Linked DNA regions of Alligator mississippiensis. The protein of the gene in region 4 interacts with the protein of the main gene of each other region in a pairwise test. Links are inferred from orthologs where the notes say so. Each region holds a gene or a part of one and is shown on either strand. Other genes may lie near its edges.

Evidence for each region.
Region 1: the proteins of CYTH1 (region 4) and ITGB2 interact in a two-hybrid assay, tested with the Homo sapiens proteins (2 studies listed by BioGRID). The link is inferred for Alligator mississippiensis from reciprocal best matches to the Homo sapiens genes CYTH1 and ITGB2.
Region 2: the proteins of CYTH1 (region 4) and IPCEF1 interact in binary tests that used the Homo sapiens proteins (3 or more experiments, as listed by UniProt). The link is inferred for Alligator mississippiensis from reciprocal best matches to the Homo sapiens genes CYTH1 and IPCEF1.
Region 3: the proteins of CYTH1 (region 4) and CYTIP interact in binary tests that used the Homo sapiens proteins (3 or more experiments, as listed by UniProt). The link is inferred for Alligator mississippiensis from reciprocal best matches to the Homo sapiens genes CYTH1 and CYTIP.

Annotation. Positions count from the first base shown.
Region 1 is NC_081827.1:188,078,285-188,085,143, reverse strand, and holds the start of ITGB2 (integrin beta-2), read right to left. Parts: upstream 3,003-6,859; 5' UTR 2,836-3,002; intron 1-2,835.
Region 2 is NC_081824.1:133,246,753-133,254,556, forward strand, and holds the start of IPCEF1 (interactor protein for cytohesin exchange factors 1), read right to left. Parts: upstream 3,012-7,804; 5' UTR 2,736-3,011; intron 2,508-2,735; exon of another isoform or gene 2,404-2,507; intron 1-2,403. UniProt on the Homo sapiens protein: Enhances the promotion of guanine-nucleotide exchange by PSCD2 on ARF6 in a concentration-dependent manner.
Region 3 is NC_081827.1:222,880,320-222,887,651, reverse strand, and holds the start of CYTIP (cytohesin-interacting protein), read right to left. Parts: upstream 3,020-7,332; 5' UTR 2,969-3,019; coding exon 2,801-2,968; intron 1-2,800. UniProt on the Homo sapiens protein: By its binding to cytohesin-1 (CYTH1), it modifies activation of ARFs by CYTH1 and its precise function may be to sequester CYTH1 in the cytoplasm.
Region 4 is NC_081831.1:723,237-730,971, forward strand, and holds the start of CYTH1 (cytohesin-1), read right to left. Parts: upstream 3,015-7,735; 5' UTR 2,941-3,014; coding exon 2,913-2,940; intron 1-2,912. UniProt on the Homo sapiens protein: Promotes guanine-nucleotide exchange on ARF1, ARF5 and ARF6. Promotes the activation of ARF factors through replacement of GDP with GTP.

The DNA.
Region 1 (6,859 bases), on a different chromosome or scaffold from region 4:
TACGAAATCTATGAAATCTATGTTTGCGTGTTGTTATGGAACACTATCCAGTCTTGTTAAGCAAAATCCATGATTAGCTGGATGAGATATAACATGGTTGACAGTTTGCCAAGTTCTGACATCAGTTTTCCTTTCCCTGTTATACATTACGCAAATTATTTTTATGTTGCTACCAAAAGAGTGTTACCAAGAGGGTGTTAAGTGCCATGTACACAGCAGAGCTGAACCCATGGAGAGCTGCTATATAAGGCTCCAGCCTTGGTTTTATGTATCGATAGATACACATGCATATAAAACATACATATACAATATACTATAATGTACACATATTATATACATAAATACACGCATATATAAAAATATATACACACACACATATTTGTGCATATATAATGTTTACCCCTAGAGATCATACTTCAAATTTTAAGTGGCCCTCTAATAATACAAATGGAGAATTTAAGGAATTCCACACTACAAAGGAGGGGCAGTTACTATGCACTCCTTATACTTTCTGTGTTGCAGTAGTGGCTAAGACCTGCTAGGGACTGTATAGACATATGGGGGCTGTATTGATAGCAGCACACCGCCTATGATAAAGACCATTTTTGGTCCATTTTTTCCAAAACTCAGATCTCATCTTTAGCTGCATGACTTGTCTTTCTACAGAAAAGGTTTCTGTAGAAAGACAAGATATAATCTTTCTCCCCATATTCAGGAAGGTTTCTTTTACAGCTTTCTTTTCATTTGCATATAATATGTAGATTTCCTAAATTACAGTGTCTCTTAACCTTTTTAAACTCCAGGTACCCCTCACTAAATGCCAGCTCTGTTTTAACTTTTTGACTATAGAAAAATAATAGAGCAATTCTTCTACTGCAAAGAACTCAGGAAGAGCACAATGGATCAGAAGGCTTTTTAACACTACAAATTCCTATTTGAAAAACTCTGGATTTATCTTGTGGATCATGTTTTTGCACACCTAACAGTGCTAACATTGTGTGGGACCTCATGGCATCTGTAAAAGAACTCAAGGTACCCCAGGATGCCACATCACCTGGGTTGAGAAACACTTCTTTGGTCACTGCTGAGGTTCCATATATCACTGAGTAGGTTATTGCTGTGTATTCTCTCTCTTCCCTTACTGGGATTTACAATGTGCAAGTAATAAGTGCTCTTATTTTCTCATTCATGGAAGGATTACAGATTCAATTTCTGATAGCAATATAAAAATAAAGTTGTCCGATGTGTAACATAGCAAGGAAAACTGGTGTCATTTCTCCTTCTGAGTAATTGTGCAATACTGAACATTCATATTAACCCTTTAATGAAAGAGCACAGTAGCTTTGTCTGTTAGGTACATATGTGGTCTCCTAAATTCGGTCTCAGACCTTAGGCTGCTTTACAAACAGATTAAACCTCATTGCTCCTCCCCCAGAATGCATCTGACAGAAAAAAACCCCACCACAATACCAGAGGGCTCCTCCTGGGTCTGAGGTCAGTCCTGTGCCACTGAAGACAAGAGTCATAGAAACCCTTTTACAAAAATGCATTATATATAACAATAGTAAATTGTATGTAAAAATGGAGCTGAAACAAATGTGACATGCAAAGAGCAAAAACAAGTGATTTTATGACTAAGGCAGGATATGACATCCATGGCAAAACCCATAACCTTCAGGCTTTTTTCAGTCTTATGTTTCTGCCTTCTGACTTGTGAATGAATGCATTTCCCCATGACTGTACACACATTTTGCTCTGTATCTGCCTCAAAAGTGGAAGGTGGGCTTACAAAGGGTCTGACGGTTGGTTTGTTTTTAATTGGATTCAACTATTAATTTAATATTATTCATGTGATCAAACCATTCTGACTGCCAAATAAAGCAAGTCCTACTTTAATGCTAACCCCTGTATAACTTTCTGACAACTTAAATGTTAATCCTCAGCTGCACTGTGGTTCACTATTGGCCCTGTTGGCTCTTAATATCAGCATTATGGGTTTCTCAGCAATGTGAGGGCAAGTGGAGGGGGGAAGATGCTCAATATTTATTCCTGGAAACATTAGACAGTATTAAGCCAGATTACCCTGTACCAAGAAAAAAATAATTTATAAGTGTGCTCAGGGAAACTAAAAGCATATAGTCCAGACAGGAAGCTAATTTCCTTGTTTAGCTTCTAGGTATAGCAATAGTAAAGTCTGTACCGAAATAAGATCAGACCCTCAACTATTACAGATTGTTGCTACACAGCAAGGAGCACAGAGCACTGCAAATGATCTTCTTCTGCATCTGGTCAACCTTCTCATAAATCCAACCCAGTCTTTTGATATGATCAATAGCCGCTGAATTTCCCCATCCTTACATATATTGTATTCTGTTTCATCTGTGTGGAAGGGTACAATTCTCCACTGCCATGTTCCTTGGGCATCCATTTAAATTGCCGCAGCGTGCACAAAGAGATCAGATTAATGTGGTAGCATTTAAAATGCATATTATACTCATTTGTCTTAGAGCAGTGCAATGATGTGCTGGGTCCTAAGTTTCTGTACATTACACATCAACAATCCCATGCTTGTTTCCACCTTCAGAAGCAACTCAGTTAAAAAAATTTGAGTGCCCATCTTCTATAAAAGGCTACTCTAACCCACTAGGCAATTAAAGATAGAATGGAAGAGAAATTTGCAAACAGAATGTTCTCAAGTTCCTGGAGCAGAATTCAGGACACTGCTGGTCATTTCTGAAAGGAGCAGAGCAAAACTCAAGCAATGTAATAATAGGCACTTATGAGGACATTAAGTCAATAAGCAGCAAAGCCACAGACAGAGCAGATGTTGCTCACCCCTCCACAGGAACAGAATCACCATGCATCTACTGCTCTGGCTGGCTTTCCCACAGCTGTTCTCAGGCAGTGGTGAAGCTGTGCCTCAGCTGACTGTGAAGTTCCTCCAGTGTAGCTGTGAAAAACAATCAGTCACTGGGATTCTTGCAGCATACTACTGCTTTCTTCTTCCTATTTCTGTTATATAGTCACCCTGTGTGAGACAAGGAGGAAGTCAAGAAAATGCGATGTGAGTGTGTACATTTCCTTAAAAAGGAAGAAAAACCAACCCCCCCGCAAAAAAAACAAAACAAACAGATCTCTAATAGCAAAGACTGCGCTCTTACCATATGGTAACCCCTCTGGTAGCCTCAGTGGAGGGAACAATGGAGCCTCAGTCTCTTGAAGAGTCTGGGGTGTGTTTTTATCCTTTCATCATGGCAGAACTCATTCCCCTTGGCTCATAAATAATATGCAATCCCTTCAGAATGCATAATAGTAGGAAAGTGTTCTTTCTTCAGTATCTCTTGTTACAGACATGTGCCAAATGAAGCAGTACAGGGGGTGGTGAATCTGTCACTGGCTCCATAATCAAGGTGAGCTCCAGTCAAGTGTGATAATTTATATTACATATCTACTCTTGACTCTGTACTGGCTCTTGATGACTTCCAAGGGATGGTGCAAGCATTGGGATTCATTCACATCTGTAGCCCTGACTAATTTAGGTCCTGGGCTTTGAAGAGCCTCCTCTTGTGAAAGCTGAAGGTACCCAAGGCACTTGAGTTACAATTCCCCTCCTGCTAGCATAAGAGAAGGCTGAGAATAGGAACTTCTCAGGACAAATTTGAATATACTGCAGCACCCATGCACAGGTCATGTAGGTAACTCACAGCTTCCCAGTCCTGGGGCAATCAGGACCTCCAGGACCTGGAGTAGATTGGAGCAGCTTGGGGGCTTCCCAAACTTGTATTACAGCTCCACAGGTTTCTAAGACCTTGAATCATCCAGAACAGCCTGGACCACACCTCACCTCATTGCTAGGATGTCCCCAAAATGTACCTACTATAACTCCTGCTGTGCAGCTCCAGCTTCAATGATTGCAGTAAGGCCCTTGCATTAAGTGCATTGCCAGGAGGCCTTGTATTGCCAGGAGGCCTCAGCAGCTTAGCTGGTGTTACAGATCATGCTAGCCATCACACCTGGTGAAGGATCCTTGGTTACATTCCCCCACCCTGATCAACAATGCTCAGACATGGCAACCTACAGGGCATGCTGCAAAGTGGATGTTTTTGCTGGCTTTCCTTGTGGAGGGTGCAGTAGGAATGAGGTAGGAAACAAAGCACTGGGTGCTCAAGAGAGGGGCAGAGAGCTGTGTTGGGAGGGTGGGGACCAGGCCTGGGTGCTCTGAGCTCTATTTAAATACTTCTGTTTTAAAGGAATTTAAAGGGCTGGCCTAACACTGCAGAAGGGGTGGAGTTCTCAGTTCAAGTTCACTACAGCCCCTCCCTTTCCAGAGCAGCGTGTGGTAAAGCTAGTCGTGTAAACAGGGACAGAAAGGCGCTTGTGGCAGGGCAGAAAGGAAGGAACTGTCCACAGAGTGGGCTGAGATGCAAAAGAAGCTTCTTGGGATTCTGCCAGGTGAAGAACCAGGAGGTAAGCCTGGATCCCTCTTCCACCAAAAAGGATGAAGCAAGAATGGCCTGAGGGGCCTGCGTGAAAGAGAGAAGGCTTCTATGCTTTCTGGAAGGAGGAAGAAGATTACCACAAGCACTAGCTTGCAGTAAAATATTGCTAAGTCACCATGAGACAGGATCACACCCTGACCCTCCACTGCAGCCTGCCTGCAACCATCTTGAAACCAAAGAACACCCTTCAGAACGGAAAATAATAATTCTCTGAAATGAGATAAACGTGGAAAATGGCACTTTGATGCTGAATACATAGCACTGTTGTGCTCACAATGATGTGGGTGCATTGAAACATCAGACAATATTTGGCCCATGGGAGAATCTCAAAGGCAGATAGTGATACTCCTTGTCTTCCATTTCCCCGCAGCCAAATCATCCTTGATTACTTAATATCACACATCATTTCTGGTATAGACAAAGTCCTTCTGCTGCTCGGTGCTGAAATTATCCCTCAGCGAATTAGTGATTTCCATTCATTGTCTTAGGAAATTGTAAGTTCGGTATCAAATTGCCAAGGCAATCAATTACAGGCCCTTAATTTCCCCAGAACCATGTCAGCCAGCACACATGCAATCTGCTTTAGCATGCTAGTGCTGAAAATTTGCCAATAGTACTGGGTCATTATCTTTTATTTCCAATACACACAAATACACACACGTGCTCACATGTGTGTACATGTATATATAAGCATGTCTACACGTCACCTTATGGTGACGTAGTGACACACTGCATCACCATAATGGCAAAATTTAACCATGTGCTGCATGTGCAGTGCAGTAATCACCTGTACTGCACCGTGCTTTAATACTTACAAAAGAAGTACTGTAGGAATGTTGCCATATGGCGATATGTAGACATGCCCTATATGTATATACTAGCCAATTGACTGTCAAGACTGATGGAGCAGGGGAGGGGGGAAACAGAGCGCCACCGCCGCCTCCCAGGAATGGGGAGAGGGGGGAGCTTGCCCCGCTGTCCCCCTCCACTAGCACTGCTGACTCCAGCAGTGCTGGCCTCACCCCCCTAGTCCTGCTCCTCAGAGGCAGCAGAGTGCCGCCATGATGAGTGCTCCGAGAGCATTACAGACAGACAGACAGATGGACGATGTCCTTTGTTATATAAGAATATCTATATGTATACATACACGTGTATATATGTGTGTTCGCGTGCGCGTGCGCACACACGCACACACACGCACACACGCACAGGGTTTAGTCTCCTACATGGGGAGACAAACCCCTCTGGATCCACCCATGCCCACCTTCGTGTCATCCTGGTTGTGCTGCTGGTTCAACCTCCCACAACCTCCATCATCTACTACAATGAATAACTCAAGCAAGGGTCACTGCAGGAACTTACCTCTTTGCCTCACCTTGCAGCTTCCTCCTGCTTCTGACCCCTGTACCATTGCACACCTGGGCCTGCCTTCAGCCCTGTTCCTCTTCTTTTTGGCTCTGATACATTGTAGGTTCAAATCCCCTAGGAACAGAGCCATTCAGTACAGGTTCCTCAATAGTGGCACACTTTTACTGGACATATGGGGGGCGGGGAACAAAAACATTACCAGGAGTAGATAACTGACAAGATAATTGTAGAAGAAAGGATAGCTTGGTTAATGAAAGAACAAGGCTTGTTAGCACCTATGGAGTGTAAAGATTAGCAGCAATCAAGCAGATAATAATGAACCATAAGGTCAGTTGACTCCCTCAGCTCCACCTGAATAGAAATGTGGCTAGTCCTGCCAAACAGTTTGTTTTAAACACCAAGTGGGGCAGGAATAAAAGGTGCATATGATGATGACTATATACCTACCCCTGCCCAAGAGCCACTTCTGACTAGTCTTGAATTTCAATGTTCCCCAGACTTCAGTTTGATACTGAGATGACTCTGCTGATATTCAAGGCAAGCACTTTGATATCAGGGACTAACCAGCATTAGTAAAAGTTGTTGTTTGTTAACTTGGAGATGCTGTGGTCAAAACAAAGATACACGATTGGTCAAAACCTGTTTATAGAAACTACCTTTAGCCCCTTTTTGAAAACAGCTGGGATATTAAAAAAGCACCTTTGAACTTCCTTTTTAGGGGAGATCTCTTACATGAAGTAATTATTAAGACCCTGCCCTCCAAAGAGGAAATATGCCTTCTGTATTGAAGTGTTGTCTTTGTCTTTTTCTAATAAAGTAAGTGACTGAACTTCAGATATATATTTAATTCGTAGTAGTCATAGTCAGGTTTGCTGAGGTTAATCCAGATTTGACATTATCCAGAGAGGGAAAGGACAATATAGGATCTATTCCTGCTAATGATACATGGTTGGTGAATATTAGCATACAGCGCTCAGATGTTTTGTAACTTG
Region 2 (7,804 bases), on a different chromosome or scaffold from region 4:
AGCTGGTAACGTTCCTCCATTCCTTCCTTGGAAAAAGTTGTTTAAGAAGAGCTTGAAAAATTGAGAGATCTTTTTGTTTTTACTAATGAGGTGATAACTGCTGTGTAAGCCCCTGCTGGCTCCCTTGCTGACCAGCAAGAAGGGGTGGGGAACCCTCCTTAATCAGAGCATCCTGCCTCAGCTCAGTACTGTGGAATGAAAGGGAGGGCTGCTCTAGTGCCCCCCAGCTTCTAGCCGGAGCCACTGCAGGCATGTGCCTGCATTTTTTCAATCCAGAGGGGATGTCTGTGTGGTTACATGATTCAGCCTAGGCTGGTTAGACTAACCTGCAAAGATCGAATCAATTCAGGCTCAGGCTTTTTGAATGTCTGTCCCTAGCCCTCATGTCCAGAAACAGAGGCTTTCTTATAAAATTTTTCATCTGCTCAAATTTCTGGACCAAATTCATCTTAGATGCATTTGTACATCAAGCTCCTTTAGTCTGAAGGCTTTACCTGTCCTCAGAAAGAGTCTTTGTGTAATACATTCCTATTATCCTGCATGTTCACTCCCTTAGAGATTCTAAACAGGAAACTGAAAACAAAAGCTAGCGTTTCTCTAGCAGTTCTGAGGTCAGGGATTGAGAGGAAATCTGGGTTCTCCTGACAAAAAAGCTTACAGGGAACTTCCACAAGGTGGCAGCACCTAAGAACATTATGCTGCTGTTAAGTTAATCTTTTACATTGCTGTATTCATGGGAGTAAAAGGTCAGTAACGATGCTCTGCTGGAAGGCAGCAGCATGCTCCAGTTAAATGCAAATAGCTACATGCCAGTGTTGCTACACAAAACTGCTTACTTAATAAATGCACCCCGTGTATGCATAAATACACTGAGCACATATTGCATAGTAGTATATTTTTGAAGCAAATAGAATTTTTTCTAGACCTATCTTTGGATCATCTGCCTTAAGTATTCAAAAAGAGCAATTCTCTAGGATTTATCTGTAGCCTGACCCCATATAACAAATGTAAAGCATTACACAACATCACCTCTTCTAGCTGTGATGTGTTTAGCTATTAACTACTTTCTAAACCGTGAAGGATTTATAGCATACACATAAGTCCTGTTTTATTCAGTGTGTTATAGCAGGAATGACTACCATTAAAAATATTACTCATGATGTGACAGGTGGTTCAGTGACCCACCTGAGCCAAAGGAGAGATTGGGTGGACCTACTACTGTCAGGCAGAGTTCAAACTACAGAGAACTTTTATCAAGATGCTCCCTTGCCTGGTCTCTGCTCTGAATGCCAAAAGGGTCAGGATAACAGGTACTGCTATTAATACATAAAGGGAGTTAGAAAATAGCTTTTGTATATGTTCCCATCCACTGTGGGTGGCCAGACCTTGTTAGAAGCTGGTTAAGATGGAAGAGTGTTGAGTTATATAATGTTTTAAAAGTTATTATTGGTGTTACGCAAAATTATCAAGAGAGTAGTAGTTATAACCAGCTCTAAATTCCCTGAATAATATTCAAGTTAAGCATTTAATAATCTTTCCTAGTTCTACCCTACAATATACACAGGAGCTATGAATAAAATCAAACATGCCTAAATATATACTCATCTTAAGAGCCTGGAGAGGGGAGGGGAGGGGGGGAATGAAAAAAGTGTCACAAAAATCAAAGGTCCTGGCTAAATAAATATAAAGATCATATATCAGCATAATGTAAGCAATTGTAATCTACTACAGTGGCACTCAATCCTTTGCCCCCACCAGCCAGTTGAGAGGTGTCGGCCCAGTCTCTGGGCCAGATCAGACCCCATGTGCCAGGATTGGGCTCTGAGGGTGCCATCCCACCTCTGCCTGGTCCCACACGTTGGGATCAGGCTCTAGGAGCCCTGTGCCATCTCCATCCATTCCCATGTATGGGTATTGTGCTCCAGGGGCTCTGCACTGCCCCTGCCTGACCCTGCACACCAGGATCAGGTCCTGTACTACCCCACAGGCCCAATCTAGTGCGCAGAGTCACGGCCCATGGATGACATTGCACTGGAGGCTGGATAGGGACATGAGATGGGGGCTGAACACCACTAATCTAATACAAAGCTCCATCTCCTATAGATCTCAACTTCTGCAGTAGTGGAGTTGACAATCTAGGGAACTCATTTAGCCCCAAAACATAGCACAGCTAAGGTGTGGAATAGTGACATCAAACTACAAATCACAAACCTCTCTTATACAACTGCCCAATATCACAAATCAAACTAAGCATGCCCATCTGACAGAAAAAGAAACACAGGAGAACTATATTGTTAAGAAAAATACCAAGCAAAAAACCAGTAAATATCCAGGGAGAAAAAAGTATACAAGAATCTTAGAGATGCTAGAAATGTATTTTAAGAATTAACAGATTCTACCAACCTCTACAACAGCACTTTATAAAGTAGTGATCACTGTCACTGCCAAAAAAACAAAGGAAAGATACCAATGCAATTGCCCTTATGCAACAAAATGATGGTATGAAGTCAGCAGCACGTTACAGTCTCACTAAATAGAGAGCAATCCCACCCTATTCCCCCTTAGTAATACTTTATGGGTTCTTAACCTCAGGTGTTCTCCATAAAGTAGGAGCCTGACCAAGAAATTAGCTTTTTGTTTGCATTGGAGGTCAGTCAGAGACCTTTGCAGGATCAGAACTTAAGTGGTTGGCATTGACTTGACATATAGAATTTTGGCACTAAAAATTGAGGTACCTTTGTGATGAAGGACAGTCCAGTTGCTAGACTTCTATCTAAGTACCCAGGGATGCCGCTTTTCTTGCCTTCTCCATCACAGACTGCCTCTTGAAACACTGAACAAGCCACTTAGTTTCTCTTTGGCTAAATTTTCCCTAAGATGGGGATATTAACACTTCCCTGCATCATCTATAGATACCATGAAGATAACCTGTTACAGACAGCCAAACTGTTGAGAGGCTATAATTTGGAGGCCCACACAAGCACCTTAATCAGTTAGATAGCCATTCTACAGTCATATTCAGTCAATGGCAGAGTCTACTTCCTGACTAGCAGAGTAAGTGGGGAAATTTAAAGAGAAAAGGGCATGCTACAGAACTATGGTGTGTCACGTGTAAAGGTTTATCAGGTGTTCTTAACAGGTAACAACTTTAAGAAGGGCGAAGGCTCTGGAAGGAGCTGTGTCAGCAAGATGGGAAGCACCTGATGGGGCTTAACCAGGAGATAAGCCCAAGGCCAGAGCTGGGGTAGGCAGTCTCATCCTAGCTGCTGACATCCTGGCCCTGAGCAAGCAGCAGAGGGAGACTCTACTCTCCCAGGGGTTAACAGAAGGCAGCCTTAGAGCTGACATAGGGTCAGAGATATGCAGACACAGGGTGCTGCGATGCCCCTGAAGAGAGACACTTATTGAATGGGACACAGAGCATGATTAGCAACATCTGTGAGGCATGGGCATGGTGTAAGGGTCAATTGGAGTCATGTACTGCACTCAGTAGTGACACCTGAACAGTAGCATGGGATCAGGGATCTCTGGGGCAGTCTCCCTTTCCAAGGATGGAAACAACCTTGGAACAAGGCATGGCAGGTGAGGTGAAGGGGAGCAAGCCTGAGAAGCAAGAGCAGAGCAGGGGCCAAGCAGCCACCAGTGTTAGGGACAGACATTCAAAAAGCCAGAGCCTGAATTGATTCAATCTTCGCAGGTTAATCTAACCTGCCTAGACTGAACTGTTCTGCAAGTGAATAGATACTCAGGAAATACAGGCACATGCCTGCAGTGGCTTAAGCCAGAAGCTGGGGGCGGTGCTAGAGAGCACCCTCAGCTGCAGGGAAGCTGTGCTGGGGTGGGGGGAGGAAGAAGAGGGGGGACATGGACAACCCTGGCAGTAGCTTCAGGGGATCTGGCCAGGGAGGGGGTTTAATTCTCCACTCCTGCCCCATCAGCACAGACCCAAGCTGGGGTCCACCTGGCACTCCCCTCTCACTTTTGCAGTGGTGGAGGCAGGGGCAGGGCCAGACACTGGTCAGCATAGCCCTCTGAGGCAGAGGGAACAAGAAGGGGGTTTATTCCCTACCTCCACCCCCTTGGGACCACAGCCAGGGTCTGTCCACCCCGACTGCTGCTGATCACTCCCTGTGTGGGGCGAGCAGTAGAATAAGCCCCCTCCCTACCCCCTCCACCCGATGCCAGAGGGAGGGGAGAAATAATCCCCCTCCCTTCCCCCTCATCTAAGGGGGCCATGCCAGCTGGCCTCTAGCTGTACCCCAGCCCCTGCTGCTGGAGTGGCAATGGGGAGTGACCCTGGCAGGATAGCAGCCCCTCTCATGGTTTCCTGGGACATCAAGGCTCTTCCCAGCTGGGGCCTATGCTTCAGGCGGCGGCAGGTAGAGCAGGGCAGGCAGAGCTGCCACAGACTGGGTGGGGTAAGCACCGGCACCGGGGCTCAGAGGGGTGGCAATAGCCCCCCAAGGCCTCCCACACACTACTGCCACTTGCCCCATGCAGTCTGCAGCAGCTCTGACCGCCCTGCACCACAGCGTCCCCCACCAGGAAGAAGCTTTCACTCCCTGGGAAACCATAAAAGGGGTTCTTGCCCCCATCACAGTCCCTGCCCCTTTGCCACTCCAGCAGCAGGGGTGGCGGCATGGCCAGAGGCCGGCCAGCATGGCCCCTTCAGGCAAGAGTGCAGGGAGCGGGTTATTTACCCCCTCCCTCTGGCATCTCATAGAGAAGGCAGGGAGGGGGCTTATCCCACCATTTGCCGCATGCAGGCAGTTGGGGCAGGCAGACCCTGGCTGCAGTCCCCCAGGGACAGAGGGGCTGGAAGGGAAATAAAACCCCTTCCTGGTCCCTCTGCCTCAGGGGGCCAGGCTGGCCGGCATCTGGCCATGCCCCCACCTCTGCAGCAGCAAGTGGGGAGTGCCAGGTGGACCCTGGCCCAAGTCTATGCTGGTGGGACAGGGAGGGGGGAAATTAAATTCCTCTCCCTGCCAGTTCATTTGAGGCTACTGCTGGGGCTGGACACATCCCCACCACTGGAGCAGCAAATGGAAAAATGCCGGTCAGGGTCTGCTGAGCTCCTGCCTGTTAGACCCTGCTGGGGTCCATGATAGTAGGACAGGGGAGGGACAGAGGGAAAAACCTTTTCCCTGACCCCTTTGCCTTAGTGGGGCCAGCGTCTAGCCATGCCCCTGCCCCTGTCCACCGCTGTTCCAGCTAGGGAGCAGAGAGCACAGCCTCACACAGGGCTACAAAGCATGTCAGGATGCTGGGGGACTCTGGTTTAAGTTAAACCAGCTTGAGCTCAACCAGTTAAGTCTGATACGACATTCAACCAGGTTTATATTAAACCATTCTCAGCCATTTTGAAGGTGGTTTATGTGCACTGAACTTACGTTGTGTTACAAGTTTAAACCAGTTTCTGGTCACTTGAACCGGTTTATGTGTAACTTCTGTGCCTAGCCCAGGGGACATTGTGGTCACCCCTAGGAACAGTGCTTTGGTACAAAAGGCTAAACCCTTCCCCCACTACCCCACCTAAAATAGCTCATTAGCCTGAAGACTTCTACGATCAACTTCTCATAGAAGTTCCCATCCAGTGGCTATTCAAATAATACTTTGCCTCTCCATTCAGATCTCAGAGCTCATCAGGAGAAGATGACAGAATCCATGTGCAAAGAACTTATGTAAGGAAAAAGTAGGGTTTCTTGCCATGACCTTCCTTGTTGGGCAACACACCCATCTCCCCCCACTCCCCTTCCCCACCCCAAATCCAGGAATATTCCCATTTATTGTAAATTCCTCTGCCACAAAACCTCTTTGAACATGAATGGTGTTTTATCTATCTATTCAATACTACCACAGAGAAAAAACTTCTTCCACTTTCTAAAAGGATTTTATTTTACCTGCTGTCCTTTCTCCAATTTTACCCAGGAAATATTTGGATTTGTGAAGCAACTACTTGGTGGCAACTGCTATTGGTCCCCTCCCCCACTGGCCCATTTGAAACTCATTTGAAGACTCAAATGTGTCAATCAGTAACCAGGAGAAGCAGAAACAAGAACAGAGCTATGACATAGGCTAGGAATGGATGGGAGGACTGAGATAGCTAGACATAGCCTTACTAGCTTTACACTGTAAAAAGCCATGTATTACAAATACTCTGAGTTTTTACTGACCATTTAAAAACTTCTGACAGCAAATGGCCTCGGAGATTTTACAAATAATTAATCTTTGCCTGAACTGCTGAAATTTACCATGGAAAGTGAAGTTTCTTCATGCCCCTTTCCCACTGCAGTACCATTAAATATTTATATTATCACCTGAAGCCTTCAGCCAGGATCAGGGTCTCATTCTGCTGAATAAACAATAGAAGACATGATCTTGCCTCAAAGAACTGACAAAAGCAAGCTTGAAAGGGCAAGTGAGTGGATATTTGTTTTGTGTAACTTATGGCCCTGTAACGATGATGGGTGAATCCTGTCCATACATACCTGAACCAAGCCATTTTAGGCCTCTGCCAAAATGATGATTAACTGAACTCTAGAGTATTTAATAAAATTGATTATTTTTGCATGTATCATTAAAGACAGGACTCAGACTCAAAGTGGGGAGAGTTGTTTAAAGTTGTGTAAAGCCCCTGCTTATAATCTTGTATCTTTCAATTAGAGCCAAGAAAACTGGTTTTCAATTTCTTTTCTTCTGTGATCTGCCACAAATAGCAAACTCCCCCTCCTCCTCCTCCCCCGCTCCAGTCTTCCCAGTTGGTATTGTTTATGTGGACATACAACCATGGCAAATTCCAGAGCTATATTTTGTGGCTTTCTGACTCGAGGATCATTCTGAAGTAGTTCTCATTGGCTATTCTTCCAGCTAAATATTTACACACACATATACACTGAGCATAACTTTTACTTATGTGCATGGGCAAAAGCTCAGCATATTTCACATAATTTTTTAGAGGCTACATGTGTTTCACATCATGACAACATGTTGAAAATATGTGCCTACAAAACACATTTTAAATGTATTTATACAAAACACTGTGTGCTTATGCTGGAGGTGTTTGCTATATATAGAAAAACCAAAGATTAGATTTCCTGTTCTCATTCCTTTCCTTCACAATCCTGTCTCATTATTAATCATTTTCAGGCTCTTGTTATGGCTTATTTGTACATTAAATTTAAGTGAGATAATGTTTATGTTTAAAAAAGAGCATAAGGAAGCAAAAAAACAATTGATGTGGTAGTAGCCCCTGAGCAAGCAGCAGAGGGAGATGTTTCACCCAATTCACTTTTAAAATGTGACCTCCTGCTCCATATATAAGGACCTATCAATTAAAAGGCCATTTCTGATAGAACCTGAAAGCATAGCTGAAACAATTAGAGTGAAGAATGATTATTAAATGCATTTGTGGTGGGTTTAAAATCTTTTTTTTAAAACAAGTTGTTTCATAGTTGGTAGGGTCGGAAAGGACCTAAGCAGATCATCTAGTCCGACCCCCTGCCATGGGCAGGAAAGGATCCTGGGGTCAAATGACCCCAGCTAGGTAGCTGTCTAGCCTCCTTTTGAAGACCCCCAGGGTAGGAGCCATCACCACTTCCCTTGGAAGTTGGTTCCAGCTCCTAGTCACCCTGACTATGAAGTAGCGCCTCCTGATGTCTAGTCTGAGACTAGAAATGTGACTAGAAATAAATAATGTGACCTTCTCCTCACATACTGGAATAGTGTTATAACCTGATGCAGTCACAATTCAGTTCCTCAGCTTTTTAAAATTTGGTTGATTTGGCTGTTGCTTTTGCTTTATGAA
Region 3 (7,332 bases), on a different chromosome or scaffold from region 4:
GGTTATAGAATTCATTCCCCCACAGTGAAATGCTGACACTTAAGACATTGCTTAATGTCTTGAGACATTGGAACTGAAAACTGCAATAGGTAGCAATTCATAAAGAGAAATCCTATGCTGGTATGGTGGTGGGGACAAGCAGCTCTATAGAGCTTTGCAATTTGTTTGATTCTATAATCTTAGTTTGCACAGATCTCAAGAAAGCTGAGTAGTAGTAGTTCTGCAGAACCTCAAGTAGCAACAGCCTTTCATGTTCTTTGATACTGCTGCTATTATAACAGTACAGTATGCTATGGAAATTGCAGAACCTAATCAAAGTGTGAGATGTGCTAGTTTGAGCACCCATGCTCTTCATTTAGGCACAGCGTATGCCTATGTATAGCCAGCATCCACGAACCCCAGCCATGCCATCTTATTTATAGGAGGTTGCAAGCAAATCTCAAAGAAATCATTTGAGTGGTGTTAGGAAATATACTTGTTTACAAATCACTCTATTTTTCCATATACTTGGGAGCCTTTTAAAATGCCTTACAAAGGAGTAGGGTGAACAGCAAATACTTGCATGTATACTAACATTATTCCATTGTGCTAACAGTGGGCTTTAACAACGGTAATACCTTACATTTTTAGCATACCATATCTCAGAAAAATCTCAAAACTGTTTATTAACAATATTTGTGGCACACGCAAACAAAATTAGCTCTGTTTTACAAGTGGGAAAGCTTAGGCACAAACAAATTAGGTTGCCCAAGGTTACACAGGAAGTACATAATTGAACCAGCAGCAGAACTGAAACCCTTTTAACTTTCAGACATCTGCTTTTATTCTCCCTTTGTGCTGGTCTTTATCCATAGATAGCCCAAACATATCTGAAGCATCACCTTACCACAGAGCCCTCCCCATCTCCGCTAATACTAATGAGAATTATATGCTACATCAAAAAAAGAGATCACCAAGGCAGGATCCAAAGATCCTTCACATCTTTAAGTGAACTCTGCTCCCCTCAAGTCACACTTCATCGGTTTAAATGGGAGGATTAGGGTTAATCCAAGACTCAAAACATGAGAAGCATTGTGTCCACACACTGGTATTTGTGGGACTGTTACTAAAGTGTAGAAAAAACTGGATTCCTAATGCTAATTCCAGCATTTCTGTAAGAAGATCTACAAAGCATTGAGTGTAATTAGATTGACTTAACCCTGTGCAGGAGTGCCTGTGTGGCACTACCTGACCTTAACTGGAATAACGATGGTGTCTTCATGCAAGGTAGTTTCCAACAGCATACCCAAACATTCATGAAACCAATAGACTGGACCTTGATGTTGCATACAAACATAAACATCCTTAAGAAATCACAAAAGATTATAAAAAAAGCTAATATCATACTGAAGCTGCTGCTTCTTGAAAATGTAAATATCAAATAAGGAACCATTGTCCTATATCACTAACAGGCTTGTGGACTTCAAGTCCTTATAATTAGCCATGAGACACAGACTTCTTCAAAATGTGTCCCTGTAAAAGAACCAACTCATTAACATGTATTTATCCGGGGTGGGGGAGGTTAGATGCACGTAATAATAAGCAGCAGGTCAGTTAACAGAAGTCCATATGTACGTAACTCTAAGCTAAACGACTTCTGCAAAGTACCCATCAGTTGTGCAAGTTTGTTGTGAAGGGTAGTTCCCATGCCTGATGTACATGTTGAAATTTATTTTTCACACACATGGCTGTGTCATAGCCACTATCATAAATGTTCTCTCTCAATCAGGACTGATTGCCATACAGAGACAAAAGAAATTGTTTCTTTATCACAAACAGTACTAGCTGAACAAAAATCAGTAAGAACATTCCATGGAAACATTAATCTATCCAGTTCTGGCCTTGCTTTATCTTTTCTCAGGTTGTACAAAAAAGAAGAATTAAGAGCACATCTATTGATGCACAAAGTGAAGGCTTAAGTGCCCAGTCAATACATAACAATTCTTTGTTGATAATTTGCATTTATAATACATTTCAAATACTTTGAATTTTGATTGATTTACACCAGATCACTAGATAATATCCTGTAAGTGCTCATTTGTCAATTCACAGGAACAGTAAAAATGGAAACAGGATTTTGTTAGCAGCCAATTGCAAAAGACAGAAATCTGTCATGTTGTTAACATAATAGGGGGAAAACAAGAAAAACAAATAATTTTGTATTGAGAAATATCCAACCCAGAAACACTTTCATCACTTTTACAACAGAGATCGACCCAGGTGGGCACATCTACATATTGCTGGTATCAGTCATATCTGAAAGCAAGCCTATGGGGAAACAAAAAGCCTGAACATGGCATACATTGAAGTAAAATAAATTAAACTTAAAGGACATGAGAAATCCCATAAGCCCTGAAATCAACAGCTTCTTTTGATTCTCAGCATACCTGTAAACTGAGAACAAAAAAAAAAAAAACCACAGCCACTACTCTGGTTTCAAAAGCTCTTTATATGTTTCAAGGTGCTTTAGAGTTTGAATTCATCCTGTGTACGCTTACTGCAGGAAATTGGCTAGATTTAGATTTTTTTGAAAGAATTAATTACTATTCAAAACAAAGCAGGCCAAATTTATCCTTGCTGTAATTCCACTGACTGTGAAAATCAACCTATAGTTGAATCTGGCAAGCTACATTCCACAACAAACCTTTTAAATTACTTGCTAATAACCTTGCCGATTACATTTACAATTGCAAATACAGAAAAACAATTAGCTGTACTCTCAAAAGGAAACTTCCTGCAATAGTAAAAGCAAAAAACTTACCTGCCTGCGTCCTCTGGGTAAGGTCCCCACTGCATTTGCCAGGTTCTGAAATTGCTTATTATCCATCTGCGGGCTGCACATAGTTTCCAAGTAAGGAGTATAAGGACTAACGCAGAAGCCTGCAAAATTGGCATTACGGTTTTGCTGAATGAGCCTTCTAAAGGACATGATGGGTGCTGATCATTTGAGTAGCACTGTCAAATAACATGGTATGACTGAAGAAACTAAAACTGTAGCCTCCTCTACCAGCAGTCAAAAAGTATCAGAATGGAAAGAGGGCCACGTGACTTGTGGTTTAGGTGCATGTACAGAAATCTCTTCTTGCAGTTCACCAGTGTTACTCAATGTTTTTAAGCTTGTGGAAGAGCTAAGAGTTGGGTTTTGCAATTAGAGAAATCTGCTTATTTTTCCACTCCTGGAAGCAAATGGATCTCTCATCAGGCAGATTTTATATTCTGTAATGGTTCTGTAAGTCAGCATCTGTTTTGAAAAACAAAACTTTCCTAAACTTCCATTCTCAGTGTTCTCTCACATTTCTCAATTATCTTTGGCATAAAATGTGGAAAGCCATGATTTTATCAAGTTATTACTTGAGTGCATGATTAGGGACATAAACAAGGATTAGACACCAATATAAAAGGATATGTTGTAAAAGTGCTCTATTTACACCCTGCAATATTTTTATAGTAAATATTTATAAAGGGGAATTTGCATTTTGTTGCTAATATGCAATCAAAAAATCTATCAAATTCCATTCTCATGTGTAAGGATCTCAAAGAAACCTAAGGCATCCTGGTTGAGAATCATGGACATAACCCCCTCAGAAAGAGAACTGAGATTAAGTGAAGCATTGTGAAGGAAGCTGCTGCGATATGTTAATTTTTAAAAAGACACCTGGTTCTGTTTAGTATTAGATTTCTGGAGTGTGACACACCATAAAAAGAACAAGAACACAACAGAGGATCAAACTCAGTAAGAAACCCATTTGGACTGTCAGAAGTAGAATGTCTTCTTCAAAAAGACAAGTCAAGTAAAATGTAATGGCTAACACAATGACCCAGAGGAACAGGCATCCGCCTTCAGCATCCTATGTGCAAAATGAAGTGTATTTTCTACCTATGGGGACTTTTGCCATCTCTAATTTTTCCTCATCCTGAAGAAGGGTGTGTGCTCCTGAAAGCTTGCAAAGAAAGATACATTTTTGTCATTTCTTAGTTGGTCTAATAAAAGGTATCATCTCTGAACCAAGAGTTTTAGAGTTTTGCATGGCTAACACAATTCATTTTTCCTGCTTAGCTGATCTTAATCACATTTCTGCTACGGTAAACCCATTTCCTCCCCTGTTACTTTGCTCTGCTGTTTCCTGTATTTGCTTCACAAAGAGAAGCGTCATTTGCCTAGCTGTAGTTTCCTGTACCACTGTGAATTGACATATATGAGGCCACAGGCACCAGAACACAAAGAGCAATCACATCTTCTACCTACAGTTTTTACACAGAGGTACATAGGTTGATTCTTCAAACAAGGAAACTACCAACAATTAGGTAGTAATGAAGTAAATATATTTTCTTGCTTGATTTTAAAATGACAATAAGAATAACATTAATGTAATGATAGAATACAATTAGAGTGAGGAAATTAACTGCTTACCAATCCTAATGTTGGTGTATAGGTCATTTCCTTATTCTAATATTTTTCTCAAGTAAAATTCCCAGTGGTTTCCAGAGTAATGTCAAAGTATTTTACAATAATAGTATAAAACCTAGTGGACTGCAAGTCGTGGTATAATCCTCTTGTACAATTCCTCTGTCGCAAGGCTGTTGCCACTGTTCTTCAGAGTAGGTGCATAGAAGACAAGAAGGTCCCTATATTTTAGAGGAAAAGTTCTTCATTCTGTCAGAAGTATTGAATGGGGAGTCAGATTAGGACCCATCTAAGTTGATCAACATGTGATAGATCAATGAGTTGATATACTCAACACATAATAAAGCAGCTCTTGACACATGACAAAATTTTTACTATGGCAGGTTCCCAGGTGAGGAAACCTGCTTCTCTGGAAAAGAGAGAAGAAAAGACATATCCTAAAACCAAAGTCTGGTCCAGGGAGTTAGAAATAGCCCTAGTACCAAAAATCACCAATTTACCAAATCTCTTTGGCAATATTAAATACATGAATAGTGTTACTTTTTCCATTAAAACCAAAGTGCTATTGTATGTTATATTGATGTCATGATGTCCAACATCTGAGAGAGAGGATGACTGATTGAGGAATAAATAAAAGCACTGAGAGAAGCACCTGGAAGTACTAACTAAAAGCAAATAGAATGGGAGTAATTGTCATTGCAATCTTCTATATCAATACATGAACATAGATAAGTCACATACTCGCCTTTAAGGTATCTGTGGTATGCTTCTTATCTTATTGGATTCCTTTATATTCTCATTTTTCTATATTTTTCACTTGATATCCTTGTGAATATGACATTTTAGCTTTTCTCCCCATCATTTTCTGTTATTCCATTTCATATTTCTCTTCACTTATTTTATTCCATTTTCATTTCCTATCCTCCTAGCAGGCTATTTATAATTCAGATGAAAGAAATTTCTAGTAATTTAACAAATCAGTCCTTTTACTGATCAGTTAAGTGGGAAGCAGACAAACAAGAAATCAATGAAGAGACTGGTCTGAATTAATGCGATTCACTCAGCACAGGATCTAAGTCTATTTTGATTGCAAAGTTTGCGGGGCAGGGACTGTCTTTTTTTTGTTGTTGTTGCTCTCTGTACTGTGACCTAACATTTGATCTTAGACAGCACTGATCTTGCTTTATGTATGGGACTCTTAAGTGTTAGCATATTTTGAAGGAGATAAAACACTAAATGATTTAAATATCATAAATAAGTAAAATAGTGCTTAGGTTGATGACTGATCAGATCAAATTAGATCTTAGTTTATTCAAGAGTAGAAATACTTCATTCAGTTTAAAATCCACTCAGCAAGTAAAACTGCAGAAATTGATTTTGACCTGACTATACTTGGAAAACTAAAATTAAGAGACAAAGGATGTATTTGTGGTTAAGATATTTCACTCAACTCAAAGACCTAAATTCTGTTCCTGGATCTGCTAATGCTTTCCTGTACAGCCTAATCAGATTTCAAGAGTGAAGCGGGGTTAAAACTACTCATTACATGGCAAATTTCTATAGGCTTGTCTAGGCTAGTGTCCTAGTAACCAGGAATCATCATAGTGGATCAGACTCAGGACCCAACTGGCAGCCTATATCATGGGTCCGAAAATGGCCAGTATCCAATGATTCAAAGGAAGGCACAATACAATATGCTGTAGAGAGATGTGGTGCAGTCTGTCTTCTATGCAATCCTGAATCATTAGAAGTTGATATAAATCTCTCTCTAGCACTCTTGTAACTCTTAGCATTCTTGTATATTAATGAAATATTCATCTCCTCACTGAGTCTCACTAAGTCCCTGGCTTCAATGATACCCAGTGGTAATGAGATCCTCAGCCTAACTGGTCATTGTGTATGAAAATATTTCCATAACCCTGTTTTGAATTTGCCACACTGCTGCATTATTTTTGTCTCCCATTTTGTGTTTGAGCCCCTTTAGTTTTATTTTAAATAAATGTGTTAACTTATGGACAATTAAAGTCATGTTTACATGGCCCCCTACTAAAAAGTAAGGTTACCTACTCCCAACTTCACCTATGTTCAAGCCTAGAAAGCAACCAGAGTAAACAACACAGAAGCTGTCTCAGGCTCTTGCACTAATATGCACTAAGAACTTATCTGAACCATCTCTTCTCATTGCCAGACTTGGATGTGAGGTGAGTGGAAACAAGTGAGCAGGATTTGCTTTTCAGCAGCAATCCCAGGCTCAGCAGGGAGGCAATACAGATACTGCCATGTTAACTACTACAGTTCTAAATGAAAATATAGCTCTCTAAAGCTGCTTATTCCTGAATACCAAGGTATTTCTACAACTGCTTGAACCACAGACCACAAATTTTTGTGTGTCTTGAAACAAATATTTCTGCACCCCCCAAGGTTGAATTTACAATTGTTTTAGCTAACTCAAGGTATGTGATCGAAACCCTAGACTAGACAGAGTCCAGGTAAAACCCAGATTTTGAAAAAAAAATATTGAAAATTGAGGGAAAATTTGTTTTTCTGCCAAAGTTGTGAAACAATGCTTCATATCTTGCTTCAGGGCACTATCTGGAGATGAGAAGAGTATCTTCTTTCAACTGAGTCATGTTTTGCTATGGTCATTCATCATCCTACAAGTATTTTTCCTAATAAGGAAAATAAGCTTTAGTGTCCTGATCAAGGTATAGTTTAAGAGATTTTCCCTGCCCTTTTCCCCTGCAATTCCCATGGAATTTCATAGTCTCATTCACATAAAAGTCTGTGTAATATTATTGTGTACTATCACATATAGCCAGTTGAAAACAATGCTTTGTGTGAAAATGTGAGCACCCTGATGGCCTGCCGCTGCTGCTGCAGGTGGGGTT
Region 4 (7,735 bases):
CTCGGCCCGGCCTGCAGGCAGCTCCACCCTTACGAGTCGCCAGGACGGCTTGGCCCCGAGCGCCCCAGGGCACCCTCAGCAGTGCCAGGGCTGGCAGCTTCGCCCCACAAGCAGGACTGTCTAGGGAGGAGCCTCCTCACTGGTATTTGGCACCATGGGGAGAGCCAGGCTGCAGCCAGGACTCCTCCAGCATCAGACCTGCCCGGCTCCCAGCTAGCTCTGGCAGGTAGGCATGAGACTGCTGGCTAACACAGGCAACATCTCCCAGCACGCGTGGCCCTATCGCAGTCCCCCCAGGGGAAAGGCAGCGAGCAGCACCCTGGGCACCACCGGCTTCCTGACTGCTGAAACACCTCGGGTGCATCTACACACACGCTTTAATGCACATCAGCCTATTTTAATGTGTATTAATGCATCCTAAACTATGCGTTCTGCTTAACGTGCATTAAGATAGGCTAAGGCAGATTAAGCATCACTTTAAAAGCATGCTCTTTAGTTAATGTGCATTAAAACATCATTCTCCCGTTGTACTCGGCCTTGGTGAGGCCGCAGCTGGAGTACTGCGTCCAGTTTTGGGCTCCCCAATTCAAAAAGGATGTGGAGAAGCTTGAGAGAGTCCAGAGAAGAGCCACGCGCATGATCAGAGGTCAGGGAAGCAGACCCTACGACGATGGGCTGAGAGCCCTGGGGCTCAGGGGTGATCTGGTGGCCACCTATAAGTTTATCAGGGGTGTTCACCAGGATCTGGGGGAATGCCCGTTCACCAGAGCGCTCCAAGGGATGGCGAGATCGAATGGTCACAAACTCCTCCGTGACCATTTCAGGCTGGACATAAGGAAGATCTTCTTTACTGTCCGAGCCCCCAAGGTCTGGAATAGCCTGCCACCGGAGGTGGTTCAAGCGCCCACTTTGAACGCCTTCAAGAGACATTTGGATGCTTATCTTGCTGGGATCCTATGACCCCAGCTGACTTCCTGCCCCTGGGGCACGGGCTGGACTCGATGATCTTCTGAGGTCCCTTCCAGCCCAAATGTCTATGAATCTATGTCTATGAAGACAGGCTAATGCACATTTTCCTAGTAACTCATAAATTATGGAGGGACTAGATTGAATGTGCATTAACGCACATGTAGATGTGCCCTGGACTCAGCAGCAGAGTGGAGGACACTGCCCAGATGCAGCCCAAGCCCAAGGGGAGCCAGGCCACCAGGTCACCCCCAACACCCCACAGGAGAAACACCCAGGCTAGGGAACAAGCTGGCAGGAAGGGAGGGGATTGCTGGAGACAGGCAGCCCCAAAGCCCCAGAGCTGGGCAGCCTGGAGGTCTTCTCCCACCCCTGGGGCATGGGGCAGACCAGCGAGGGGCCTGCTGCCACAGCAGAGAGTCAGCAGCAGCACAGCCGTGATGAGACACAGGAGCAGGAGCTGTGCCACCCCCTCCTCTTGCAGCAACTGATGCACCAAGAGTGACCCTGGGCTCGTGACAGGGACGTCAGCACTGGGAAAGGGGAAGGGAAACCGCAGACGGGGTGGTTTTCCCTGGTGAGGAGCAATAGGACCTTTAACCCCTTCCTGGGAGCCTCCCCGCTGGCACAACCTCCCTGCAGCGATGCCTGCTCGTGGGCACCGACACCCTGCGGTGCCTGCACCCCCAGAGACGCCACACCAGAAGCCTGAGACCATTCCAGTCTCGCACCAAAGCAGACACAGGGCATGGCTGTAGCAGCTGCACTGCATTGCCAGGGCATCCCCCGGCGCTGTCCTGCCCCCCACAACGCACCCAGGGCAAAGCCCAGTTATGCCCCCCCGATCAAATGCCTGGGGCTGAGCAGGATGCTTACCCCAGTCTGCGACAGTGGCGACCAGACGGGGACCCAGGAGTCCTAGCTGCCCCCAGGCAAGAAGCCTGGCCACACAGCTCTGCTCCCAGCAGCCCTCGAGGCCTCAGGGAAGTCCCGGTGCTGCTCTGGGACAGGTGGGGATTTCACTGTCGTGAAATCCCGTGGTCGAGGGGTGGGCCTCCCACCCCTGCTCCACACCAAGCCCTGGCTGCAGGGCGCTCAGCAGGCTCCGGCTGGGAGGAGGAGGGTGGACCGGGCATGGGGGCAGCGCTGAGGGGCAGGAGGGCACTTCACAGGTCTGGCACCAGAGCACCTGTGTGGGGCCTGGCTGTGCAGCCCACGTGCCAGAGCCCCCAAGTCGTGCCCGGCTGCACGCTCCCCAAAGCCAGGGAGAGCAGCCTGCTTCTCCCCAGGCCCAAGCAGCAGAGGCTGAGCCAGGTGGGCAAGTGAGCCCAGACCTGCACCCAGGGGTGCCCGTGGACCAGGGAGAAGGGGGCAGGACAGCCCCGGGCTCCGAGGACACGGGTCTAGCTCCACGCGGCTGCCACGACTGCCTTCTGATGAGCGCACTGAGGCTTGCAGCCATCTCGCCCCGCGCAGACACACCCCGCCGGGGCAGGAGCCAGGCAGGAACAGGCCCCAGGGTGGGCGAAGGGGTTGGGCATGCACAAACCCTGCCAGTGGCTTGGGGGGGGAAGCACTGACCGGGCCCTGGGGCTTCCCCGTCCCTGACTGGGAGCCCAGGGACAAGCAGCAGCATGCAGGCGTGCCAGCCTGGACCCAGACACATGCCCGGGCAGGGATGCAGGCACCTCGGTGTTGTACTAGGGATCAGTGCCCAGCTCCGGCGCCTGCTGGCAGGGCACAAGCAGAAGCCCTGGGAGACGGGGACCCCCAGAGCCCCCAGCATCGCAGGGCACACTGAAGCTGCTGGGGGGGGGGGGGGGGGGAGCTGTGAGCTTCTTGGGATGGCAGTGCCAGCTCCAACAAGCACAAACCCGAAGCCGCTCCTGCCCCAGGCCCACCCCGGCTGCCCCGCCATGCTGCCCTCTGCCCCAGGCCCAGCTCACCGCTTCCCTGCTCCATGCTAAGCACCATCCTGGCCGGCGCTCCCAGGGCGTCCCAGGTGTGGGGGGACGGAAGTGGGGCCCCCGCGGTTCCAGCCGCTTCCTGGAGTGACTCACGGCCGCTGAGCCAATGAGCCACCCGTCGGGATGGGCGTCATCCTGGCTTCCCCGAGCTCCTGGCCAACACCCTGTTCCTGCCCCGACAGGGCCCGGAGCTCATGCACCATTAACCCCTCTGCTCCCACCCCCACCCAGCCGGCTCCCCGGCAGCCCCAGGACACGCGCCCCCACGGAGCCAGGAATGGCTCCAGCCCCAGGGGCAGTGCAGGGTGGGCTTGGAGGGAAGAGGGAACACCTGGGAGAGCTGGGCGGCTGGGCAGGGACCCCGTGCTCTGGCCACGGCCTCTGCCCTGCCCCCCACCTCCCTGCAGGCCTGGCCAAGCCTGGGGGATCCCCCAGCCTAGCACCCTGGCCTGACTCCAGGGGGACGGTCCTGAGCCCAGGGGCTGGGGAAGTGGAGGGGGCTGGTTTCATCACGTCAGAGCCAGGTGGGAAGCCCAGTCTGAGCCTGGCTGGAAGGAGCTAGTGAAACACGCTCCAGAGATCCCGGGTGGTGGCCGTGCCCCATGGCAGAGGCAGGTGCAGCCCACGCCGCAGGTGGGCATGCGAGGGGGACAAGCGCCAACCGGCGGGGCCCCCCAGCCCCAAGCCCAGGCACGAGGCAGTTAACCGGCGCTAGCCCTGGGCCCAGGCCGCTGGCCCCGCCTGCTCTTCCTTCCTCCCTGCAACACAGCACTTTGCTGGCACAGGGGCCCCGCTGCGGCACATGGCAGCCCAGGCACAGCCCTGCCCCGAGTCCCCATTGCCGGCACCAACCACACACCTGCCCTGTGGCTCGCCAGCCCTGTCCCTGCCCCTGTCCCGGGTGGTTCTCCATCCCCAGGGCCAGCTGAGCCATCGATCCCACGATCGACCTGCAGGCGCCGGCTGTGCCCTCCTGCCCACAGGCACCAAGGGGCATGGCGCAGGCCGGGTCCCATGCCCAGACACAGGCCGTCTCTGCTCCCTCTCAGGGCCCAGGCCCCTCCTGGAGCACAAGGACAGCTATTTGATGCCTCGACCAGGCTCCCCCCCTGCACCATGGCTCCAAGTGCTGCCAAGCGCCCAGCCCAGGGTCTCTCGGGCTCATGGACCCCCAGGCCTCTGGCTGCTGGCAGAGGCAGCGCATCACAGGCCTGGGGTCCCCGGGCACCAGCCCAGAGCCCCAGCCCACTGCCCCCTCTCACCCTTGCTCCACGTCAGCAACTAGGCTCAGGGCAGCCTGGCAGGGAGGGTGAGCCGCAGCTCTGGGGCAGCACAGATGTGTGGGAGCTACGGGAGGGTCTGGCTCTCCCTGGCAGGTGGTAAAAGCCAAAGGCTCAACCTGGCTTGTGACAACCCCGAGCCAGGATGGCATCCCTGCCCCTGCTAGACACACAGGGCCCCCCGGACACTTCCCCCAGCTCAAGCAATGCCTGCTGTTGAGGCTGGAGAAGCAGAGGCTTCAGAGAAGGGCTAAGGGGACCAGGGCTGGAGCAAGCCTACCAGGGCTTCATGGCATGCTCCCCCCTTCCTGGTACCATTAATGACCTCTACTCTCCTGGAAAACAAAGACCCTCTCAAGGAAGCAGTGGGGACAACCCTGTCCTGGCTGGCAGGCAGCCCCCACCCTGCAGCTAGAGGCCACCAAACTCTTATCCTCACACACTGCATAGCATGCGTCTGGCTTTGCACAACAGGGCTGGTGCATGGGCCCTGCTGCAAGGCGCAGGGGCTGGGGACCCTTGAGCATCTGCAGGCATGAGGGCAGGGAAGGGCCCTGGCCATGCACGGTACCAGGCAGTGCCGCAGTCCCCAGCCCCAACAGCTGGGCCCAGCACCTGCTCAGAGGCATGCACCGCTCCTGACTTCTTCTGGCCCCACCTCGGCACTATGGGGACCAGACACCACATCCTGTTTTCACTGCACCGCTTGCACACCCCAGGCTTGCGTCAGCACCGTCCTTCCCGCCGGCAGCCCCACGGGGCCAGCACATGCCTGCCATGGGGCAACTTCCAGGACAGCCAGGCTCTGCCCAGGCCCCATGCCGCCAGGCTGCTCAGCCCTATCCCCACCAGAGCCGTCTCCAAGACACATTCGGGCACAGCTCCTGGGCCCTCGCAAGCCAGAAGCCCCTTCTGCCTGGCTGCTGGGCTGGAACAGCAGCCCTGGAGCATGCAGCCCTGCCAGCCTGGGTGCTAGAGCCCCTCGGCACCGTGCGCCAAGTGTGGGACGTGCCCAGCCGACCGCCCCCACAGCGCCACACTGCACCTACCTGCCTTGGCTGTCACCGAGGGGCAGAGGAAGGCCTGGAAGCTTGAGGCACAGAGCTCACTGACTGTCCCCATGCCGCAGGCCCCGGCGTGGCGACCCCGGCACCTCCGGAGCCAGTTGGGAGCCGCACGGGAGGCCCCGGCGGTGCCCAGGACGGGGATGGGGAGCTGTCTCCCCACCCTGGCAGCGGGAGGGAGACAGGGACGCAGACAGAGTCTCCCCAATCTGGCTGGAGCAGAAGGAGCGAAGCGCCGGCAGCTGGAAGCTCCCCGCTGGAGGAGCCCACGCACGCGCCCAGCCAATCCCGGCTCCCTGCCGGGCGCTTGCCAGGGCCCCGATCCACCCGGCTGGGAGCCTCCAGGCAGCAGCCCCTCCAGGCCCCGCGTCCTGCCCTGCCGGCCCGTGCACCCCGGGGCGGAGGGGCGGGGGGGTGCTTGCAGCCGGGTATTTTTAGATCCGGCTTATCCTTCAGTACCGGCGCTTCCAGCATCCAGGGAGCCGACAGTTGCATAGCAACCGCGCTGCAGAAAAGGAAGGTGCAGAAACGACACCGCCGAGGGAGGGAGGGAGGGAGGGAGGGAAGTGGGGCTGGGGGGCCAGCGCACCCTCGCCGGCTCCGCCAGCCTCAGGGGAGGGGGCACGAGCAGCCCCCAGGGACCTGGCATGCCCGGGGCAGGGTCTGCTGGGCACAGCCCGGCTCTGCAGCTTTACAGGGGGATGCTGTGCGGGTCCTCGCCCAGCCTGCTGCTCCCCAGGGAAGCAGGGGGGTGCCTTGGGGCATGCCCCATCTGCCCTGGGGATGCTCAGCATGGCTGGAGGGCCTGGGGCTCTGGCTGGAGAGCCAGGCGGGTGCCCAGGCACGGACCTGGGCTGCACCCCTGCCCACCCAGGCTCCCCCTACCCCTAGGTGCAGACGACATCTCCCTCCCAAAATGGGTCCTCGCTGAGCTGAGTCCTGGCCCCAGAGCTGGACGTGGCCTGTGCCCCAGAGCCGAGGCAGGGGCCACTCACCTGGTCACCGACTGCCTGCTGCAGCCGCTGGAGCACACGAGACACAAACCCCAGCATGCCAGGCAGGAGCATGGCCAGGAGCACCAGCTGCAGGCGCCCCCGGGCACGGGCCTTGACCCAGGACTGGCCGGAGGGCTGCAGGGCACTGTCCAACCGCTGCAACTGGCCAGCAGATTGCTTTTTCTGGGCTGCTGCCGCCGGCTCGCAGGCTGAAGGGAAGGCTGAGCATGTCATGCTGAGCTCCGGCATGTGGGCAACGAGCTGCCTCCTGGCTCGGGGCCCTGTCTGCCCTCCCCACACCCTCGGGCCTGCAGAGCTTGAGAGGGTAAAGCACAGAGCTCCAGGGACCCTGATGCCAGCCCCACACCCCATCCACTCTGCCCTGGCCAGCCGAGGACCCCAGCAACGCCAACGGGTTGGCAGGAATAGCAGCTCCCAGACGGGGACAGCCCCAGCCCTCCCTCGGCAATGGGTGGATGCTCACATGACCCTGCTCCTGGGAGTGACGATGCCAGCTGGAATAGGCAGAGAGCGGGCTTCCCCGCTGCCCCCGCACCTAGCTAAACCCCGCAGGAGCAAGGTCCGGGGCTCCATGCTGCTCCGTTGCAGCCAATGCACCCCCTGCATCCCTGTGCTGCCCGTTACACACTCTCATCCCTCCTGCAGCCAAGGCCTGGGGGACGCAGAGCTGGCCAGGGCCTCAGAGCATCTGCTGGGCCACCCCTGCCACGGCAGCAGGAGAGAGGGTGTCTGGTGCCTGGAGAAGAGGAGGAGAAGATGGCAAGCTGCCCCCTGCCTGGGAACAGCTGGGAGCACCTGCCAGGCTCAAACTGCCCCTGGGCTGAGGGTCTTGGGCCTCCAAGCTGCAGGAGGGCACCAAGGAGGGACATGAGCTCCACACAGCCCTGTCCCGGCAGCACAAGGAGCAGGCAGCGTTGGAGGTGGCAGGTGTGCTACCTGCGGGGCACCCTCAGGTGCAGGAAGCTGCGGGCACGGGGCCGGGAGTCCCAGCACCGCCAAAGCGTGCAGGCCTGCACTTGAGCACTTGCCTGCCTTGCTGGAACCAGCTGAAGAGGGACACCCGGGCAGGCTGTGCTTCAGCCTGGTCATCGTGCACGACCAGGTCCTGGCATCAAGTCCCTTGTATGGCCTCAGCCTCAGCGTGGGGTCACCCAGGCCCGGGAAGCTGGGGGCCTCCTGGCACGGCTGCAGCCCCTGCGGGTGCTGCTGGAGCAGGGCTCATGGCCGCCAGCTGCACAGCAGCAGGGGGAGACCCCAGGGCCTGCAGCCCCCTCCCCTGCCCAGGGGAAGCAGGGCCAGACCTGCCTGCTCTGCCTGGGCTTCCCCGTGCCTGCAGCACCAGGCCCTCCCCTCTTCCCGAGACCCTAATCCCCGCTGTAATCCTGCAGGATCAGGGCTGCCTGCGCTCTGCTCTGTGGCACCAACCCCCACCCGGCACCCCC